Linked DNA regions of Diceros bicornis minor. The protein of the gene in region 1 interacts with the protein of each later gene in a biochemical or structural test. Links are inferred from orthologs where the notes say so. Each region holds a gene or a part of one and is shown on either strand. Other genes may lie near its edges.

Evidence for each region. The genes of interacting proteins can lie anywhere in the genome.
Region 2: the proteins of SH3RF1 (region 1) and AKT2 form a complex in vitro, tested with the Homo sapiens proteins (2 studies listed by BioGRID and IntAct, with this or other methods). The link is inferred for Diceros bicornis minor from reciprocal best matches to the Homo sapiens genes SH3RF1 and AKT2.

The regions. Positions count from the first base shown.
Region 1 is NC_080750.1:56,095,805-56,106,456, reverse strand, and holds the start of SH3RF1 (E3 ubiquitin-protein ligase SH3RF1), read left to right. Parts: upstream 1-6,098; 5' UTR 6,099-6,242; intron 6,243-6,299; exon of another isoform or gene 6,300-7,002; intron 7,003-8,492; 5' UTR 8,493-8,587; coding exon 8,588-8,980; intron 8,981-10,652. UniProt on the Homo sapiens protein: Has E3 ubiquitin-protein ligase activity. In the absence of an external substrate, it can catalyze self-ubiquitination. Stimulates ubiquitination of potassium channel KCNJ1, enhancing it's dynamin-dependent and clathrin-independent endocytosis.
Region 2 is NC_080773.1:13,913,520-13,923,425, forward strand, and holds the start of AKT2 (RAC-beta serine/threonine-protein kinase), read right to left. Parts: upstream 5,078-9,906; 5' UTR 4,924-5,077; intron 1-4,923. UniProt on the Homo sapiens protein: Serine/threonine kinase closely related to AKT1 and AKT3. All 3 enzymes, AKT1, AKT2 and AKT3, are collectively known as AKT kinase.

The sequences.
Region 1 (10,652 bases):
CTTCAGTGAAAGGAGGAAAACCACTTACTGAATTCAGGCAAGTTTTCAGAAAAATAGGTTTGAAGTGTAGCATGATCAGTACCTGGTATGATGATAATTATGCTTTTAAAAACAAGAATAAATACTCATTTTATTTAGGAGCAAGAAAGAGAGAAGGTGAAATTTTAGCTATAGACAAGAGTAGATGTTATGGCATCATTTCTACTCATTATGGAATCAAAGAATATGGGCTTGTATTTGAGTACACATGTGAATTAGGGTGGATAAATTGAGAAAAGCCCACACCTTTTGCCCACTATTATAATGAAGAAAGAAACCTGGGTCATATATTATGAGTCTCTAGTGAATTCATGTACGTTTTCCTTGTGTATGTGTTTTTAAGCTGGCCTATTTGAATGCATTAGAAAAGTCAACCTTTATCTTTAAATTTGATCAGAAAAAAAGAATTCTGAAAACTGATAAACAACCTTTAATATATAAAGATGAGTTACCAAGAAAGATTATGGAATTTCATTTCCCGAAGATGGTTAGGTAAAGTGATGGATATTTATCTACTCTCTCTCTAAGAGTTTGGGTTAGGTAAAGTTTGCTTAGAAGCAAAAGACCACTTCAAGGTTTAAACTTTTGAAATGATAAGGAATTTGACAAGAGAAAGTATTTTTAATAGAAAGGAAGGAATCCTATTATATTATTCCCATATAGGTTAAATTTATCTTTGAACTTGGGTCACAAATATATTAGGGGCATCTAGTTTTTCAGGCATTGAAGTTGAACAGTACCAAGCAACAGGACCTTCTGAGCTTCATGTGGGTGACCCTGGTCCACATTTGGGGTCCTGGGGTAACTTGGGGCCAGTCACGTGTGTTTTTCTGGGCAGGCTAATATTTTGACTCCTTTTTAAACTGATATTCTTTAAAAATCTGTCCAGCATTTATTAAGAGGAAAGGCTGAGCACTGCATGGAATGGGCATGGAAGAGGGAGGCCGACTGGAGGTGGCAACACTCAGTCACTCTCCTGTTGTCCTCAGCAAACCAGCAATGGCTTCAAGCTCCCATATCCTTCGTAACAAAACCAAAGCCCTAGATGGCCCTTTATAGATTAGTTTCCCTTGTCAGCACCTGGGGTATCTCTCTTTTAATGTTCCTCTGGGTGACTTGAGTTTAGTATTTCTCAAATTGTGGTCCCAGCATCACCCACATTAGAATCACCTGATTCTTGAACCCATGCTAGACCTACTAAGTGAGCATCTCTAGGGATGAGGCTAGGCTGTCTGCATTTTTAATGAGGTTTGCAGGTATTCTGACTGCACTAAACCTCAAGAACCACTCCCTGAAGGCTGGGTTAGAATTCGAGTCAGCTTAGAGAACTCCAGCTCTCCCCACCCCAGGTGTTCTGCTGTCAAACAGCTCTTCAAATGTTCAGACCTGTTTCAAGAAGGTTGGAGGAAGAAGCGGTTCAGTTACCTCCCACTCATCAGTTTTTCTCCTTAGCATCCATTCTGACTGAACTGAAATCCTTGCGGAGTGCCTATAAATACTCCATCTGTTCAGATTTTTTGCCAGACAGGGGAGTGTGCACCACCTTCCCACTACTGCAGACCAAAATAGCTTCTCTGGGTTTGCCTGACTCTAACAGCCCATTTCCTGACAACTATGGTGCCTCATGACCACTTGGCTTTTTACAAGGGGATTTCATTGTCTTTAGATGTCCTTTGTGCAATTAGGATGGAGATAAACTTTTAATGCTAGAAAGAACCTTAGAGAGAATCCAATCCACTCTCTAATTAGAAATAGATGCAGATAGATACATAGGAAAGGAGGCAGGAAACGAACATTTTATTGAGTCCCCACTATGTGCCAGAAAGGCTCTGTGCTAGATTTTTCAATGAGTTTTGTCATCAACTTTATACAACAAGCTTTCAAAGTGGATAACATACCCATTTGTATAGATAAGGAAGTTGAAAGTCAGAAAATTAAAGAAATTTGGAAAGTCGTTCAGTTAACAAGTAATAGATCCAGGATTGAATCTAGATTCTAATAAAAATAATAATATTAGCTGTCATTTATTAAGCACTTACCATGTGTTGGGCATAGTTCAAAGCATTCTATTTGTATTAACTTATGTAAAATCTCCACAAAATCCCTGAGGTAAGTAGTAGTATTATGCCCACTTTAGAACTCAGGCACAGAAGACTAGAAACTTGCCCAGTTAGTAGATGAAAGAGCCTTCGACTCCAAAGCTGTCTCCAGAATCAAGTACCCTGGAGAGACTGAAAGCAGGGAAAGTAGTTATTGTTCAAGTAGGAGATAAACAGGCGTGAAATAAAGATTGGGAGGAAGGGACAGGTGTAAGAAGCATTTCTGATGAACTCTGGATCATCTATCTGGATGGGAGGTAGGGGAGGGAGCAGAGAGAGAAGGAAGAATTGAAGATAACTTTGCATTTTTCTTGCTTGCTTGGGGAACTCAGTAGATGGTGACACCATTAACTAAGATCTAGAATGAAGACAAACTGGTATTCCATTATGTTCTCTGTTATATAGCTGGCATTTCTCTAGCCTAACTGTGAAATATAAGAGGACGAATCATGTGTCCTCTTCTTCTACGTAAAAACTAGTAGAAGAATGACTCAATGGAATTTGGAACATTGTCTGCCTGATTTCCTCTCTGTAGGGCAATGAAGTACTAAGTATATATGTAGCTTTAGGACAGTAACAAATATAATTCTATACTTAATTTCCTCTCTGAGAATTATTCACTGGTACTCACTATTGGTTGGCTGTCAAGGATACAATGGTGAAGAAGACAGATCCAGTCCATGCCTTCAGGGAGCTTATATCCAGGTAAGGGAGATAGGCAATAAATAAGGAATCAAAAAATTAGACTGTAAAAAGTACTATAAAGAAGATAAATGGAGCGCCGTGGTAGAGCATGATGGTGCAGCGTCCAGGTGACATAGCGGCTCCTAAGACGTGGAAGGCATTTGATTTTTATTCCAAGTATAATGGGAAGAAATTGACGGGTTTCGAGAAAGGGAGTAACAACATATCTGTTACGCATTTTTTGTAGCTTGCCCTGAATGTCACTACATTCAGGGCAAGATTGTGGGAACAGGGCTGGAAGCAGAGAAGCTGGCTAGGAGGACCAGAGGCAAAGAGTGATGGTGGCTTAAATAAAGGTGCAATGGAGGCAGAGGGAAGTGGGTAGAAATTGAAATATAATTTGGGGGTAGCTGGCAGACTTGTTGATGGAGAGGGATAGAGAGGAATAGGGAGAAATCAAAGATGATCCCTAGATTTTTAGTTTAAACAACTGGGTAAATAGTGCTGCCATCTACCAATATTGTGGCAACTGGAGGAGGAGTAAGTTTTGAAGGAAAATGATGATCAGACACGTATATATATGCATGTGTAAACATGACACCCAAGTTCACAAAAGAGTGCTCTGGACTGGGAATTTAAAAGCCTAATTTGTGTCATAAGATCACTAAGAGCAATAACTTCTCTATACCTCATTTTTTCCCATCTGCAACATGGGGATGATTATATCTGTCTTTACTGCTTCGGAGGGATGCTGAGAACATAAATAACATATATGAAAGTACTCTGACGTCTCAGGAGGATAAGAACTGTATAAATCCAAGCTGCCATTTTTATGTACAGAGTGTGTTTGTATTTTTCATAGATCTACTCAAAGTCACAGGGACCATAAGTATATCTTGCTTACATTCTTTTCTTCAGTTCAGTTCCCAGAAATGGTAAGATGTACATACTTCTCTTTCCCCAACTGTCCCTTTTCCTATAGTATTCTCTTGACAGGATTTTGCAATTAGTGTTGTCTCAAACTTTTTTAAGACCCTGGGAAGAAAGGATTTTGCCCAGGATAACTCTGTCTGGGTAATTCTTGGCAGATAATGACAATGATGGTATCTTTCTTTAATAGAGATGTACAGATTACAAAGATCTAGCACATTGTCTCACTGAATCCTCCAAGAACACTCAAAGAAAGGTATTATTTTTTCACCATTTGCCAGAAGGAAGTTGGTGATGAATAAATGAAAAGCAATAAGATAAATTGGAGTATTTGAGGAACCCATTTTGTTTAAAAATAACTTGGCCTGACCTTGTTCTTCCAAAGGGGCCTGATGTGGTCTGTTGAGCATGCATTGTACATCTGCTTTAAACGTCTACAATGTCCCAAAGACAAGAATGATGCCCTTTAAAGATAGGGATAGGGATGTAGCTTTCCCCTATATCAGCATTTCTTTAAGGATAAGCATCTCTTCCTAAAAACTAAGGATTAATTACCAAACTGCTGTGCTCACCTTGTGACCACTGACCTGCTGTGCCAGCTAAGCATCTTATGACAGTAGTAAAAGAGATATTCCTGTCATATTTGATGTCCCAAGACAGTATATAACCACTCTGTACACTCCATTTCTGGGGTGTGCTTCTTTCCTTGGGAAAGGAAGCCCCCCGGGCTATAGTCCTCAGACCTGACTCATAATAAACTCACCCCAAATTTTGATTTATAGATTGATTATGGATTATTTGCATTGACAATGGCTCAAGAAATTAATGTAATTTTCCTAAAAATTCATATTACAGCTAGAGTAATTAGGCTAATAAAAGAGTTGTGTTCTAAAAAATATAGTGAACTGGCATCAGGGATGTTCAAAGAACTGCAGCTATGTTCCAGGTAATATTCATGGGATGTGTGCGGGTTTCTTTGATGACTGCAGTCTTAGTCACTATCTTCAGCTCTTTGATAATGGGTGTGACTACTGATTTTCTTGGCTAGTTTCAAGAGCTGCACCATTCCACACATGACTTTGTATTCTGTTCTCCGTAAAAACAAAAAACCAAAATCACTAAACAAAAATTGTCCCTTGCTCTTCAGAGTAACCTCATGATTGACAGTGTCATCTTTCCCTTGGGAGAAGACATAGTTAACTTGGTTTTGCCTGAGGTGATGTGTAAAAGAGAGGGGACTTGGCATCTAGAGACCTGAGGCTGAGTCTTGGTCCAATATTACTTATCGAATGTGTGATGTGGGGATGAAGTGAACCTATGTGAGCTTCAGTTTTAATAACTGTAAACTGCATGTAATAATATTTATCTGTTTACTGACTGTAACTTTCCAGTCAGACTCTCCTTCATCTGCACAGTTCCAGATGCAGTATATGGGCTAAGTAGTCACTTTCACAGTGCCTTGTTTGTAGATTACTGGATTAAAAATTTTCCATTGTGTTCATTCCTTCCCTTGCTTTCTCAGCTCAAATGCATGTGTATTTGCTCACTTCTAATGGAGGGGGAATTGGGCTATTATTTCTGGTATTCACACAGTATGGCTCTCAGCATGCTAATCTACTTGAACAAAGCTAAGGGGGGATGACGTACAGGGTTGCAATGAGGATTAAATTAATGCATGTAAAATGTTTAGTGCAGTGACTGGCATACAGTGAATGACCAATAATTGTTAGCTATTATAATTTTTTCTTACTAGGTGATTCTCATCTGTCTTGAATGGTTTAGCTGTGGCCCTGGCCAGAGAGTGGAGATAATCTGGCTCCTCTTCAAAATGTCAGCCTGGTTAGTGGCCAGGCAGGGATTTCTTGCATAATATCTGTAACCCCTTCTCCTTGTTTTCACCTAGTTTCTGTACACCTTTGAGGAAGGGTATTTGGGATAGCTTTTTGTAAGCTGATGGTAAATGTAAATAAAATAATAACGTCTTGGAGATAATGACAAAATTTTGTTTTCCCTCTAAATTGAGTCTGAAAAACAAACCTCAAAACCTGTGGACAGGTTTTTCAAAACTGCATTTCAGAGCTTACAGGTGTGTGCCTGGGGCAACCAAAACAAAGATTACAGTGATGGTTACGGCTGCCTCCCAGGCTCAGATAAAAGAGGCGCCTCTCAGCTGGCTTCGCGGTGCCAGCTCACCTGAGGTCAGACTTTGAATTTTCCCTTTTTAGGGCGGGTATAACAAGGCCTCCCAGGGCTGGGTTTTAAACCCACACTGCTGTTTTCCTAGCCTCTCTCCCTGCCCATTTTGAGTTTCTGGGGCAGCAATCCTCCCAGCTTGCTCGGGTTTGTGTCCCGGCGGAGGCGGCGTGATGCCTGGGAGCAGGCAGATGGGGGAGCAATGCTGGGCGGCGGCGGCCGGGGACTCGGCGGGTGGACGGCTGCCCTGGGACTGTCCCGCCACGGATTCAACATGCCTCTCCGGGTCCTAAGGGGGTAACAGCTCTTCGCTCGTCCTCTCCCAACTGGCTCTCCAGGGCTGGGCGAACAGAGGCAGCGCAAAGTGGGCTGAGTTCCCGCCAGGGCTGCTCCCGCCCTTTCCCGGGACCCAGCCCCTCCCGCGCCGCGCGGGGCCCGCCCCGATCGTCCGTCGCGGGCCGCCGGGCACCGCCGGGCAGGAGGACGACGTGGCCGCTCCTGCCCTGTGGCGCCTGCCTTCTTCCCTCAGCTGCCCCTCCCCACGCTCTCCTTCGGTTGCTCCATTTTTCAGGCGTGTTTTCCTCAGACGGCGGCGTCTGTCCCCAAACCTTCCCCCTCACTCCCCTCGGGGACCCCGCTTCTCGGACTCTCGGCGCTCGCAGCGCCCCCTTAGGCGGCCGCCCCAGCCGCCCCCGGGCACCGGCGGGGCCAGGCGCGCAGGTACCTCAGCGCCGGCAGGAAGGCGCGGCCGGCCCGGGGGGAGGCGCTGTGCTGCGGGGCCGCCCCCTCGCGCCCCGGGCGCCGGCTGCGGCCCGGCCTCCCCCTCGTCCTCCTCGTCCTCCTCCTCTTCCTCCGCCCTCCTGGGCTGGGAGAGTGGGAGGCGGCGGCGGCGGCGGCGGCTGCGTGTGCGCGCGGGAGGGGGGCGGCAGAGAGGAGTCTCCCGGTGCCGCGGCGGCGTCAGAGACACTGCGAGCGACGAGCGCGGCGGGGCCGCATCTGCCTCGGCCGCCGCCGCCGCCGCGGGGCCACGAACAAAGAGGAGGAGCCGAGGCGCGAGGTAGGGCGCGGGGGGGCGCGGGGACCCGAGGAGGCGGTGGTCGGGGGCCCCCCCCGCGCTGGTCAGTCTCTCGGTCCCCCAGCCGCGGGGCCCCGTGGGCCCGGAGCCGGGGCCTCGCTCCCTCTCCCGGCAGGAAGCTGCCCGGGCTCGGTGCCGCGGTCTCCCGGGCGCAGCCCAGCGCCCCCTGCTCTCCGCTGGCCCGGTCTCTCTGGGGACTCCCGCCTCCTCTCTGCGGGCTTTTGGCTCTTTCCCGCTGGCACTTGATGGGGCTGACTTGCGCAACTTAAGGCTGCGAATTCATCTTTAAGTCCTTGAAAACTTCCCGCAGTCGCGCGGGGGGATTTTTGTGTCCGGCCTGACCCAAAGGGAGGCGGAGATGAGGCTGCTGAAGGAGAGCCCCGTTCCGGCCCCGCCGGGCCGCAGCCCCAGCCCAGGACCCTCCCCGGCCCCGTGTCGCCGACACCTGGCTCCGGGCTGTGTCTGCGGCGGCCGCCCGCCGCGCCTCCTGCGGTCCGGAGTACCTGTGCCGGGCAGCGTGGGAGAGGGGCGCCGCCAGGGCTTCCCCCGCCCCGACACTGTCAAGAACAGCTGTTAATGCTCCCATCAAAATCCTTTTACCCCCTTTCTCCTAGGCATTTACGTTTACATTGATTCTGGTGGTGGGGGCAGAGCGGCGCAGTCACTGGTTTAAATGCTTTTTCTTGAATGGCCCCATTTTCGTATTATGCTCACAGTTTTCAGGCCAGCATTCCATTGTCAAATTCTTTGGGTGGTAATTTTGCCAGATTTTCTGAATGGGATTAGGACAGGCCGTTCAGAAATCCGTTTCAGAGTTTGTCAACCACTGCTCTGAAGGGTGCCTTTATATTTTAGCTGCTTTCAAGCCAATGTTGAGTTGTGTCCTTTAGAATTGTCAACCTTCAGCTCATTTTGGTTGGGCAAGATTAGACAGTTCTGTTTTTAAGACCAGTGAAGAAGCATATGTATTTAATAATATTGGGGTCATTAACCACAACCCATCACGTGAGGCATGGTTTCTTAAATACTAAAGTGGCTTAAATATTGGGAACTTTGTTAGATTTAAAAGTAATTTCAGGTGGAGGAAACTTTCCATTGCTTCTGTTCAGCTTCTCATATGAGTTGAGGACTTTATTAAGGCAGCTGTTATAACTTTGAGAGCTGAAGAAATTATATTCTTTATTGCATTGCATAAAACCTATTTATTGCAGGAATCCTGTATGGTACTTGATAGCCATTTCTGCACAGTGAACTCCTAGATATCTTTAGGAGTTAATTTTGAATTGTTTAAAAAGCCTATTTTGTTTTTAATTGTTGACTTTGGAGTTCAGGAACCACATTCCAAAGCAAAGCTACACTATTCAGAGGAAGCCCTTTTGTGTACTTTTTGGTTCTTGGCTCCTCTGTGAGCCTTTTCCCCAGATAACGATACTGATTTTCTGTCTTTTCTCCCTCTCCCCCCATGGCTCCAGAGCAAAGTCTGAAATGGATGTTACATGAATCACTTTAAGGGGTGCCCACAACTATGAACATTTCTGAAGCGGTTTCTGCAGTAAACTAGATAAAGATGGATGAATCTGCCTTGTTGGATCTTCTGGAGTGTCCTGTTTGTCTAGAGCGGCTTGATGCTTCTGCAAAGGTCTTGCCTTGCCAGCATACGTTTTGCAAACGATGTTTGCTGGGGATCGTAGGTTCCCGAAATGAACTCAGATGTCCCGAGTGCAGGACTCTTGTTGGCTCGGGTGTTGAGGAGCTTCCAAGTAACATCTTGCTGGTCCGACTTCTGGATGGCATCAAGCAGAGGCCTTGGAAACCTGGCCCTGGTGGGGGCAGTGGGACGAACTGCACAAATGCATTAAGGGCTCAGAGCAGCACGGTGGCTAATTGTAGCTCAAAAGATCTGCAGAGCTCCCAGAGTGGACAGCAGCCACGGGTGCAAGCCTGGAGCCCCCCTGTGAGGGTGAGTAGCCTGCAGAAGCAGTTTGGGGCATAAAGGTGGTGATGACCACATTTTTTTTCTTTATTCTTTAGCTTGATGTTTTCTAAATCAGCTCATTGCTAAGGAAGCCACAGTTACTGGAACATATAGGAAATGATGCCTCAGGAAAATTTTTTTCCTTTTGGAATGAGATTGGATATAAAAAATTTTCTTGTTTTTAAAATTCTCTCTAGATAGTCTCTATTACCTTTTAAGATAAATTTTGGGAAATAGGTGGCAATTATTCAATGAAATCTAAAGCAGCAGTTTTTTATGCCCATTTTAAAACGGAAATTTGGTTGGGTTTTACCTTTTTGGTGGAGTTGGGAGAGCCATAATTATGTATGTATGTGTACATATATGTATACATGTTATAAATATGCACGGGGCAAATCATAAGTAGGAAATCAAGCCTTCATTTTTATGTTGCTTAGAGCCATTCTATTGGTTTTATGAATGCACAGCACAGAATTTACTGGTTGGAGGAATTCTTGACAAAGCATGGCCACAGGTAGCAGAGTTTCGTTTCCGTAGCAACGAAATGTCATTTAGTACTATGCTAAAACAGCAGAGAATCTAGCTTTATGTTGGGTTTAACAGGGAGTGAAATGAACTGTTTCCATCAAAATGATTTTTCTTGGGTTTTGGGTTTGGGCTGAAATAATTTTAAGTGAAGCTAAGTATTTCGACAGTTACAATAACTTAAAAAATTTCTAGACGGTAAGGTATTCTGAATAACTCTAAATTATGTTGTGGCTAATGGTACCCTAATAAGGCATGCTGTTCTCATTTTTGTAAAAATAAAAAGTAGTTATGGACATCAGATAATTAAAACAATTCTGTTTTTGTTGGAAGAAACAATTTTGATAATTGACCGAACTGATAGAATCTATTTTTTTTTTTTTTCTGATAGAATCTATTTTTAAAGAACGGTTGATCTGGATGAGAATATTTTTTTCAAATATTCATAGTAAACACTCAAAACTGACTTCTTCCATTTAATGTAGGAACAACCACTTGGGATGGCATTAGATAGTGTAAATTCACAGATGTGAATGACAGACAGCTCTAACAGAGTAACTGCCTTATAACCTTTCCCTTACTTCCTTCTCAAGCTCATCTTTTACAAATGATGTAAAGTATTTACATCACTAGATGTAAAGTATATAAAGCATTTTAATCACTAGAAAACATTTTTCATCGCTAAGCTATCAGATTTCTTTTGATTCATATTTAATTTTTTTTTAAAGATAGTGAGTACTTTGGGTTAGGGAGATTTTCTTTCCATATTTGAAGCCCACATGTTGGGAAATTGGTTTGCTTATAGCACTTTTCTTAGATTCCCTTTTTTTTATGGAGTTTACTGGTGCCTTGATTAGTGTATATGGACTCATGAATATTTTAACCTCAGAACCAGTGATCAGGTTGATCATTTCTGAGACACCTGACCCAGGTCTGCCTAGCTTAATTAGGGAGTAGATTTCCTTCTTTGGAGAGATTTTGTTTCCTTGTTAATTAGACTAGAGAAGGCATAGCTTCTGGCTATGAGTAGAAGTAGCTTAGTTGTTGACACATCACCTTACCTGTTGTAAGGAATGCATTGAATGTTTGATTACTGATAAAAAGGAATTTAAGAAGAAGGCTCAAGCATTCA
Region 2 (9,906 bases), on another chromosome or scaffold:
ACTGTTGTTCTGCACTGTTATATGATATTAGCCCAGCTGTTCGGGGTGGGGTGTGGCGGGGTGGGCAGAAAATCAGCCCATTGAGCCTCCCCCCATCTGTCCCTAAAGGGAACAGCCATGGGCCCTGGGGAACGCGGTGTGAAAACCACAGAGGAGGGAGGCGACCATCGGGCCTTCGCTGTTTCTAAGGCAGTGATTCTACTCAAGGGGGAAGTGGCAGGCATGTGAAACTCTCTGACCGGCTCGAAAATCTACCTCCACCCCAGGCAGAAGCCTGAGAACCTCGCTTATGGCAAGAGGCACCTTCTAAAGCCCTATGTCTGACCAAATTCCTCCGCACGGCGTTCTACAAGCTCTGAGTGACCAGCCCCTGGCCTCCTCTCCTGCCCCCTCCCTCGCTCACCCCACCACACAGCCTGTCCCTGCACCTCACCAAGCTCGGTCCCCACCCCCCGCCCCAAGGCTGTCCCTTCTCCTGTCCCACACGACTGCCTCACCTTGTCAACCTGGGACCAGCTCAGAGGCCCTCCCAACAGCCCATCTAAAGAAGCCCCGTCACACCTGATTTCAATTCAAGGCCTGGCACCTCCCTTTAACCTGCCCCTTGTTTATTTTTACTTTTTTTTTTTATAATTTTATTTATTTTTCCCCCCAAAGCCCCAGTAGATAGTTGTATGTCATAGCTGCACATCCTTCTAGTTGCTGTATGTGGGTCGCGGCCTCAGCATGGCCAGAGAAGCGGTGTGTCGGTGCGCGCCCGGGATCCGAACCCGGGCTGCCAGCAGCGGAGCACGCGCACTTAACCGCTAAGCCACGGGGCCGGCCCTGCCCCCTTGTTTATTTGCTGGCTTTAGGATTTGTCTCCCTCAGCTCCGTGGGAGTAGGGCCTCTGTCAAGGACACCACTGTACCCCCAGCACCTGAAGCAATGCAGGCATGCAGTAGATGCTCAATAAATGGTGGCGGTCAGCTCCGCAATGCCTTCGGATCAAACCCACACCTCTCACCCAGGCCCCTGAGGCTTGGCGCAGCTGGGCCCCCGACTCCCACCAGCACTTCTGCTCGTGCCCACCCTTCCACCTCGCAGCCTTCAAAAGGGCTGACCCCACCGAGGTCAAGGCCCTTCCCGCCACTCCAGGGGCTGTGGTGGAGATTCAATAAAAGCACCACAGGAAGGGGCTTTAGCAGGGCCTGACATCTAGAAAGGAGCTAGAACTGCGACCTTGGAGAGGCTCCAGGCAGCAACTGTGTGGGACAGGGAGGGGACCTGGGCACTGCATTTGCCCGTTTTTAGTTGATTATATGTCCCCTGGCTTCCCAACCTCCCAGAACCTCCGTTTCCTCATCTGGAAAATGGAGATGCTAATTTTGGCCCCGCCCTCCTACTGGTGTTATCTGACAAGGCTCTGTGATCTGGGAAAGGCCTTCAAAATCCTAGCAGAAGTAACAAGGATTACAACTGCGAAGATATCCTGAAGGCTCCTTGTGGGTCCGGCACTCTTCCACAACAGTGGGAAGAAGGACCATTTACCGCAGCCTTACCGCTATGCCAACACAGCTATAAATGCTTTCTACAAATTAACCCATTTAACCTTCACAACAACCCATCACGTGGGAATTATCATCGTGCCATGATAGCGATGAGGAAAGGGGCTCAGAAGGGTTGAGGAACCTGCTGAAGGTCACACAGCCAATGAGTGGCTGGGCTGGATTTGACCCCTGTGCTCTAAATCGCTTCAGTGCGATGCTTTACAGAGGTTAGAGACCAAGATGCTGGATTCCTGGATCCTGGATGGGCCATGCTGGGGGGCTGGATAGCCCGACGCTTGAGAGGACCAAGGGTAGGGGTCAGGGAGGATAGATGACCTCTGGACTGCCGACTGAGCATTTACAGCGCCAGACACTATTCTAGGAGCTTCTTGTGGATCAATTCATTTAATCCTCACAACAGCCCGAGGTGGGTGCCATTCTGAGACTGCTGCACAGAGACGAACACTGAGGCCCAAGGTCACACAGCCAGAACGTGAAAGCACCAGCACTTGCATGCATGCCCACTACACCACCCTTGTGCACGGACCTCTAACTCAGGTCCCCTGGTAGCTGTGTCACCCCCTGCATGTCTCTCTTACTGTTCTCTGCCAGCACACACTCTGCCCCAGGTTAAAAGATCTCCGGGCTCAATTCTGAGAAGAGACTAGATTGCACCAGCAAGCCCAGAACTGCTGGACCGGCTGCCGGCAGAGGTGCTCCCAGCAGCCCTGGGCTCAGGGGATGAGGGGAAGGAACTGCCCAAGGGCGCAGGTGGCAGGGCCCAGGGCAGGTCCTTTGAGGTGACAGACCCACTGCAGCTTGAGACCTGGTGAGCAAAGAGTGTGTGACACCAGGGACAAACCAACCTGTGTTCAAACCCCAGCCTGGCCCCTTAGGGTCTGACAGACCTAGGGCAAGGCAATTCCCCTTCTGAGCCCCAACTGATGACTCTGCAAAATGGACAGAAACACCATATCCACCCCTCGGCAAAACTAAACCACTGTTCCAGTTACTCTGACAAGAGGTTCGTTCTGAGGCCAAGCCGGGCCAGGGGTTCACATGCCAGCTCTGCCACTTCCCGCCGGTAGACGTCGGACAAATCATTTCACTTCACAGCAGGTGTCTCAGTTTTCTGATCAGTGAAATGGGTGTCACTTCTCCCCACCTCATAGGAATGTGTGAAACGGGCATAACCATACCTACCCCATAGGTGTGTTTTGAGATTTAAACGAGGTCACGTGTGTAAAAGGTCTGTCACGTGCTTGACATACAGTGAATATTCAATAAACACTGGCTATTCACTAGCTCTGGAAATGATTTGCTTCTGTGTGCCTCAGTTTCCCCTTCTAAAATGCAGATCATGACAACAGTACCCACGGCTCTAGGACATGAGCACTCAGCAAGTTAACCCATGTGAAGCATTCTGAACAGCGAGTGGCACAGAGAATGCACTGAATACATGTCAGCCATCAATCTCATGATTATTGTTTTTACTGCTGCTGTTAACCCATCAGACAAACCCTCTAAAAGCTGGCAGAAGGAGACTAGAGGAACAAACCCCTGGTGGAGAAAAACTCTACAGAGTCACCACAGCCTCGCAGAGACTCAGGGACCTTCCTCTCCAGGAACCACAACCCTCGGAAGCCAGTCAGCTCGGAAGCCGACGCTGTGGACCAGAAGCGACCATCTACCCCCATAGACCACATCACCAGTCTGTGCTAGCTGGGTCAGTCAGGGACTGTGGCCACCCTCCAGAAACTCCAGACCCAGGACAAAGGTTACGACGCAAGCCAAGGTCACAAACTGGCCTGGGGAGCAGGGGCAGTGGCCTCACGTTTGGAGCTAGCTGCTCCAAGCACCCATACCCAGCGACCACAAGAAACCAGATCCCTAGGGGATCTGACAGCCCCAAGTCCTTCAGAGCAGCCTTCCTCCCTGGGCTGGGCTGGGCCAGGGGCACCCCCCACCCCCACCCAACCCACCAGAGTCCCCTTGGCCTATGCGGAGAGGAACAGCTGGGAAAACAGCGCTCAGCCTCACTGCCGCCTAATGGTGAGGCCAACTGTCAGCGCCTGGTGGGGAGCGTAAACATGATGGGCCGCTGGACTGCCAACCCGGGAGACACAAACAGCCTCACGGCCAGGATGGAGGGGGCTGCGGTGGTCTGTGTGGGTGCCTGGCCCCTTCGCACCCACACTAACCAAGGTCAGGCTGGGACTGAACTCCTGATGCTTCTCTGAGATGGGAAGAGTGGACAAAGTTGAAAGGAAGCCCACAGAAGGACCCAATTACTCCAGCTCAGGCCTCTAAATGAGGAGTCCTCAGAATCCAAAGAATCGAGATGTCCCCATCCACCTTGCCCTGGTGGAGAGCTGTCCCTCCAAACATTCCTTCCTCCCAAGTCTTAACAAGCAGGTCCAAGGGCGCAACTCCTCAAATCCAAGCTGGATACCCCCTCCCCTCCCTAATATGGAGCCGAAAGCTCAGAAAACTTCAGACGGCGGCTTCTAAGACATCTACCCACCCAACCCTCCGGCCCTGGAAGGAAACAATTTGCCACAGAGGTGGCCCACACACCTTAAAATAAGGCTTAACACTATGAAAGGGTTCCGAGGTAGACAGAAGTCCCCGTGACCATCCAGTTTCCCCCAAAGTCATTACGAAGTTCAATAAAGTGACCCTCCCACTCCAGCTCAGTGTAAACCCCCAAGCCCCACCCACCAAAACACAGGCGGCAGAAGCCCCTCATCACTCGGCGTTACAGCCCTCCCCAAATACCCCCCTAAACACCCACTTGGGCCTGCCCCGTCCCTCGGAGATTATAAACATCGCAGCCCTGCTCCTCTGATAGAGCGCTGCTCTCGTTCTAAGGACGGCTCCCCCCAGCTCCTCAGTGGTATAACCCGGACAGCGCTACCCCGACCACACTTGGTACAGGCCCCTCCCCAGAAGCCCCCATCTCTCTAAACACACTATAAGAACGGCTCCCGCAGCCCCGGAGAAGGACAGCCCCTACACTTGGTAAGGCGCGCCCCCTCCATGGCTAGCTCTCGCACACCAGGCACGCTCTCTCTTCACACCCCACTAGTTCAGCCCCCAGCCCGCACACGCCGGGGTCTGCGCCCCCACCCTTCAGTGGTTCGGTCCTCTCACTTTGGTATGCCCCCCCCCCGCGGCCTCAGTGGTACGGCCCGCCGCCCCCGCCCCCGGCCCCTCAGGGCTAGTCCTCCGCCCCCGCCCAGCCACCCTTCCTCAGTCCCGGAAGGGGGGGCTCGAGGACGCGGTCCCCGCCCGGCGGGCACGGGTGGTACGGCCCAGCGCGGCCTCGCGGGGGGTCCGGACGCGACCATCGCAGGGTGGGGGGGCGCTCGGAAACACGCGCTGGCGCACTCACCTGTCACCGGCGGCCGCCCAGCCTCTCCGGCGGGGCTCTACTCCCGCCCATCGCCACGCTGCGCTTGGTCCCGCTCCTTGTGTTTCCTGGCGGCAGCAACGGCGGCAGCAGCGGCAACGCCTTCTCCGAGCCAGGCCCAACGGCTCGCGAGGCGCGGCCCCCCCCGCCCCCTCCCCCCTGCCCCCGCTTACCGCCCCCTCCCACCCTCTGGCCGGAAATACCGCCTTCTCCCGCCACAAACAGGAACTGACGTCAAAGAGCGAGAGCTGGACTCGGAGAGGGCTAGAGCGCAAGCGCAAGGAAGGGGCAGAGACGGACTCAGAGCAGGGCGCCTGCGTACATTAGGCAAGTTTGGGCCTGTGTGGGTAATGGCCGTGTCTCGCGCAGGCGCGGGACGGAAAGAAGGGATAGGAGTGCGCAGGCGCAGTAGGCCTCTGACGCCTGCTTTCCCTAGAGGCTATAGCCGCAGTGACGTTTCCCGGCAGTCCCTGGTCCTTATTTACATACGCTTTGATCTCGCTTTTCTCTGCTGTCGCCTTTCCTCCCGGTTCCGAGGCTCTTAAAGAGCCCTGGAGCGGGGCTTAGGAGGGGTGGCCTTTTCAGCATGTCCCTCCTGGTTGCGCGCAGGCTCTGAAACCACACAAACCCAGCTTTGCATTTTCTTGCTGGTGACTGTGGACAGAAGGCTCCACTGTTTCCTGTGCCTCAGTATCCACATCTGCAAGATGGCAACAACCATAGCTGCATCACTGGGCTACTGGACTATTTTATGTACACAGAACAGTTTATATCAGACAGTCTATGACTCCAAAATATGCAACCTACCTGCTCATCATACATATTCAATTAAATATGGGGTTTAACTTTTTTATGGGGTAACTTGCGCCTTTAAAGGCGTTAAGATCGCTTTGCAAGGAAAGAGCTTTGCACAGATCCTGGCCCATACATTAGCTAGCATACTAGACAGCTGTGGGACATCTGGCGCCTAGTCCCTTCTCTCTCATAGGTTGGGTGGGGCTTGCTACCTTCTGAATTTGGGTTCCAGGATGCCCCACAGCTTGTCAGGTATGCATTGGTTAGTGCATACTTCTTCTAGAAGGCTTGGCTGGGAGTCGAAGAATCCTGGGTCCACCTAAGTCTGTGAGGGTGTCTCAAGCAAGTCCTGCTCAAGGGTGGATCTTGGTTTTCTCAGAGGTAAACCTAATGTTGGAACTAGCCCTTAGGTAATGGGTTTCCAGCTTGGAACTCGCTGCTCTGTATTCCTAATTCATGGTTTTCTTCTATCCCAGTGTTGATAACTCTGACCAATGCCTCCCCCACCACAGCCCTGACCATTTTAGTCCCTTAGTGTCTGGTGACAGGTCTGTCTCCTCCACTGCACAGAGAGCCCCACGAGGCAAGGGACCAGGACTGTCTCAGTCATCAGTGTGTACCCAACACGGGCCAGCAAAAGTCCTGGCACAGAATGGACTCTTGGGGAATATTTGTTTCAAGAATTATCCCTTCTGCTCTAATCTACATTCAAGTAGTCACTGTGGCCTACACTCTTTGCTCCTCTCCATGCTGCACAGCTCACAGCCCATCCCCCTCCCTCTAAATCTTCCTGGGCTAACTCAGTCCCTGCCCCTCCTAGGGCACACAATGGATTATCTCACTGAAACATCCCATGTGGTTACGTATAAACTCCTTGGGACAGTGGTCGTGGAAGGTCATGGCTTTCAAACCATTTTAAGACCTAGTACACACATACGTGGACTTACAGTATAATGAAACAAAGTGTCACCAAACACTATTTACTCTTATGTATGATGCACTCTGATTTTTTTTTTTCATTGCTGTTAGAGACCCTGCTGACTGATTTTCTGACCCACTAATGGGTCGTGCCTTGCAGTTTGAAAAACACTAGTCTAGGGGTGAACAGTGCTCACTGGCTTTGGAGGGAGACAGGCCTAGTTCTAATCATGCCTTTCCTGTGTCCTTGTCAAAATCACTTCACTTCTCTGAATTTGCCTTTCCTCATTGCAAAATATCAATAGAATTTATTTAGCAGTTGTTACTGGCCAGGTTCTGTTCTTAAGACATTCCCAGCGATGCTACCCTGTTGCTGGCAACACAATCTTAGAGGTCAGATGCAACAGTACCTTAAGGGGCTCACTCAAGGTCCCAGGATAAGTTGCGGTAGAGGTGGGATTTGAAGCCAGGCGGTCTGATACAAGAGCCTGCGGTTTGAACTCACATCATGCTGGAAAATAGAAAGTATTATTGGCCCTACTTCTGTCCCCTGTGTTGCTTTGGCAAACCACTTAATTATCATTTGGGGGCCTCAGTCTCTCAATTTCCACCTCAAGGGTGATTGAGGAGAAAATTCCCTAAAACCCCAAATTGTTCTCTACCCTCTAATCTGTTCTGTGAACTCCCCGCCCATGACTATAAATATGGGCTGTGCATGCATTTTTCTGGGGAGAAGGGCCAGTGGCTTCTCATCTGAAGTCTGCTCAAAGTCCTCTTAATTCAGAAAAAAAGTGATTTAAGAATCCTGCCCTGAGGGATGGAGAGGGCATCTCCCTCTGTCCCCAAGGAGCAGAAATCAGCCCCCGAATCTGTTTCAACCCTTCTCACCAAGACTGGGCTCCCAATGGTGACTGGACAAGCTGCGTGGACCAGCTCTTAGCATCCCCAAATGAGGAGGCTTCCACTCCATCCCCACGAGGTCCGGAGGTCTATCCTTGGCAGTGGTGGAGGTGGCCGTGGGGGGAACCCTCCCTGCCACATGGGCAAGCAGGCAAAATCAGAATTCCTCATTTCTTCATCTGAAGCAAAGCATTTTCGAGGGAGAAAGTCCATAGCATTGATCAGATTCTCAGAGAAGTCTGGAACCGTTAGAAAAAAAAAGTTTTTATTTAAAAGAGTTTCCCACGGTATACAGAAATGTTGAAATAATATCTTTGAGTCCCCAGCCAGAAGTCACTAAGCCCCCACCCTAGATGCTACTGTGTTGGGAAGATCCTTTTAGAGTCACTTAAGTGTTTGGCAGAGGTACAGATAAGCCTCAGGGATTCTGTAAATGTTGGTTCCAATTTCCTTTTTATAAAATATGTTTCTGTTTCAAAAATTGTAATAGAAGACACCATGCACCATGCACATTCAACTTTTTAACACATCAGAGATTCCCAAAACGTTTACATGGTCGTGCTAGGCTAATGCACTCTTATGCAGACCCTGGGAGGAAGCTTTTTCTACTCGGTAAGATTGAACACTTTACCGATCTGCTCCAAACACATGGATGGCTTCCCATCCCCTGTGGAATAAAAGCTAAAGGCCTCACCATGGCCTTCTGTGAGCTGCCCCTGCCTATCTTTCTAACTTCATCTCAAGCTGCTCTTGCCCTTGACCACTGTCTTCTAGACACACTAACCTCTTCTCTGCCCCTTCAAAAAGATAAGCTTGTTCCTACCTCAGGGCCTTTGCACTTGCTGTTCCTGTTGCCTGGACTGTTCACCCCCCTGATCCTGATCTTTTCATGACTGGCCCCTTCTTGTCTTCCAGAACTCAGTTCAAATCTCACTTCTTTAGAGAGGCTTTCCCTGGCCATCCCAAATCCAAGAGGGCCACACTATCACTATCTCTGTAGCATCTTTGAATTCCCTACTTAACACTAGACACTAAAAGCTATTTTTGCTGTTTATTTTGTAACTGTCTTCCCCCAAACCAGGATATAAATTTGCCCTGAGGGCCAAGACCTTGTCTTGGGCACCACTGTATTCCCAGCCCCTAGAACAATGCCTGGCACCTAGTTGGGACTTGGGGATCAATAAATATTTGTTGACTGAATGTGGTTTTGACTGGGAAAGTTAAGGCTCTGTGTGTATGGACTGATTTTTACTTCAGGTCTGAACTTGCCTGCTCACAAATAAGTTGAACAAATAATAATAATCTCTTAACCTTTATTGAAGAATTCCCCTGAAGTATCAGGTGCAGTGCCAAGAATATATCCATGACCTTGTTACATGTTCCTGCAGGAAGAGCCTCTGTGACTCTAGAATATGTGGCCCCCAGGTCCATTCCCAAAGATGTCCCAGGCCAAGCCCACGCTTGCACCAACAGCACTCGACACCACCTCCATGGGTCCAAATTTGAGATACAGCAAAGTCTTGTTTTATGCTAAGTTAAAGTACGTGGATTTGAAACAGCAAAATACCTAGAACACAGTTTCATACATGATTAAGAAAAATTGAGATAATATGAATATCACCTAGCTTTTTTTAGGTCATCAAGAAGGGAATCATTTCACAGCAGCAGACAAGGTGACTTAGAAACCCTATTCGCGCTGTTGCCACAAGATGGCGCCACATGAGCTGGCCATCCCCGCTGGGCCGGGCTGACTCCCAGGCATCAAGCCGACCTGGAGCAAGTTGGGCGAACTTTGTGCTGTTATTGCAACATTCACTGTTTAAAAGGGAGCTCTGACACGGCACCTAAATGCAACACGTGATCCGGAATTGGATTCTGAGCCAGGGGAAAAATGGCAATAAGGAACATTACTGGGAAAATTGATGAAATTGGAATATGAACGGGGGTTTAGATAAGAGTATTGATTCCACGTGAAATTTCTTGATTTTTGATAGTTGTACTAATTCTTATGAAAGAGAATGTTCTTGTTCTTAGGAAATACACAGTGAAGTATTCCTAGGTAAAGGGTCATGGTGTTCTCCACTTTAACTCTCAAATGGTTCAAAAACACAGCATGTGTATCTGTACGTATGTATGTATGCCTACGGGGAGGGGGTGGGGGGAGGAGGGAATGATAAAATAAATGAAGTGAGAACTGGCAAATCCGGACAAGTATACGGGAATCCCTTGAACTATTCTTGCTGCTTTTCTATACGTTTACAATTACACTAAAATACAGAGTTACCCAAAAAGCTCTTTTTTGTAGCCAATGAGAATGTCATTAAAGGGTTCTTTAAGTGGTGGTGCTAGTGC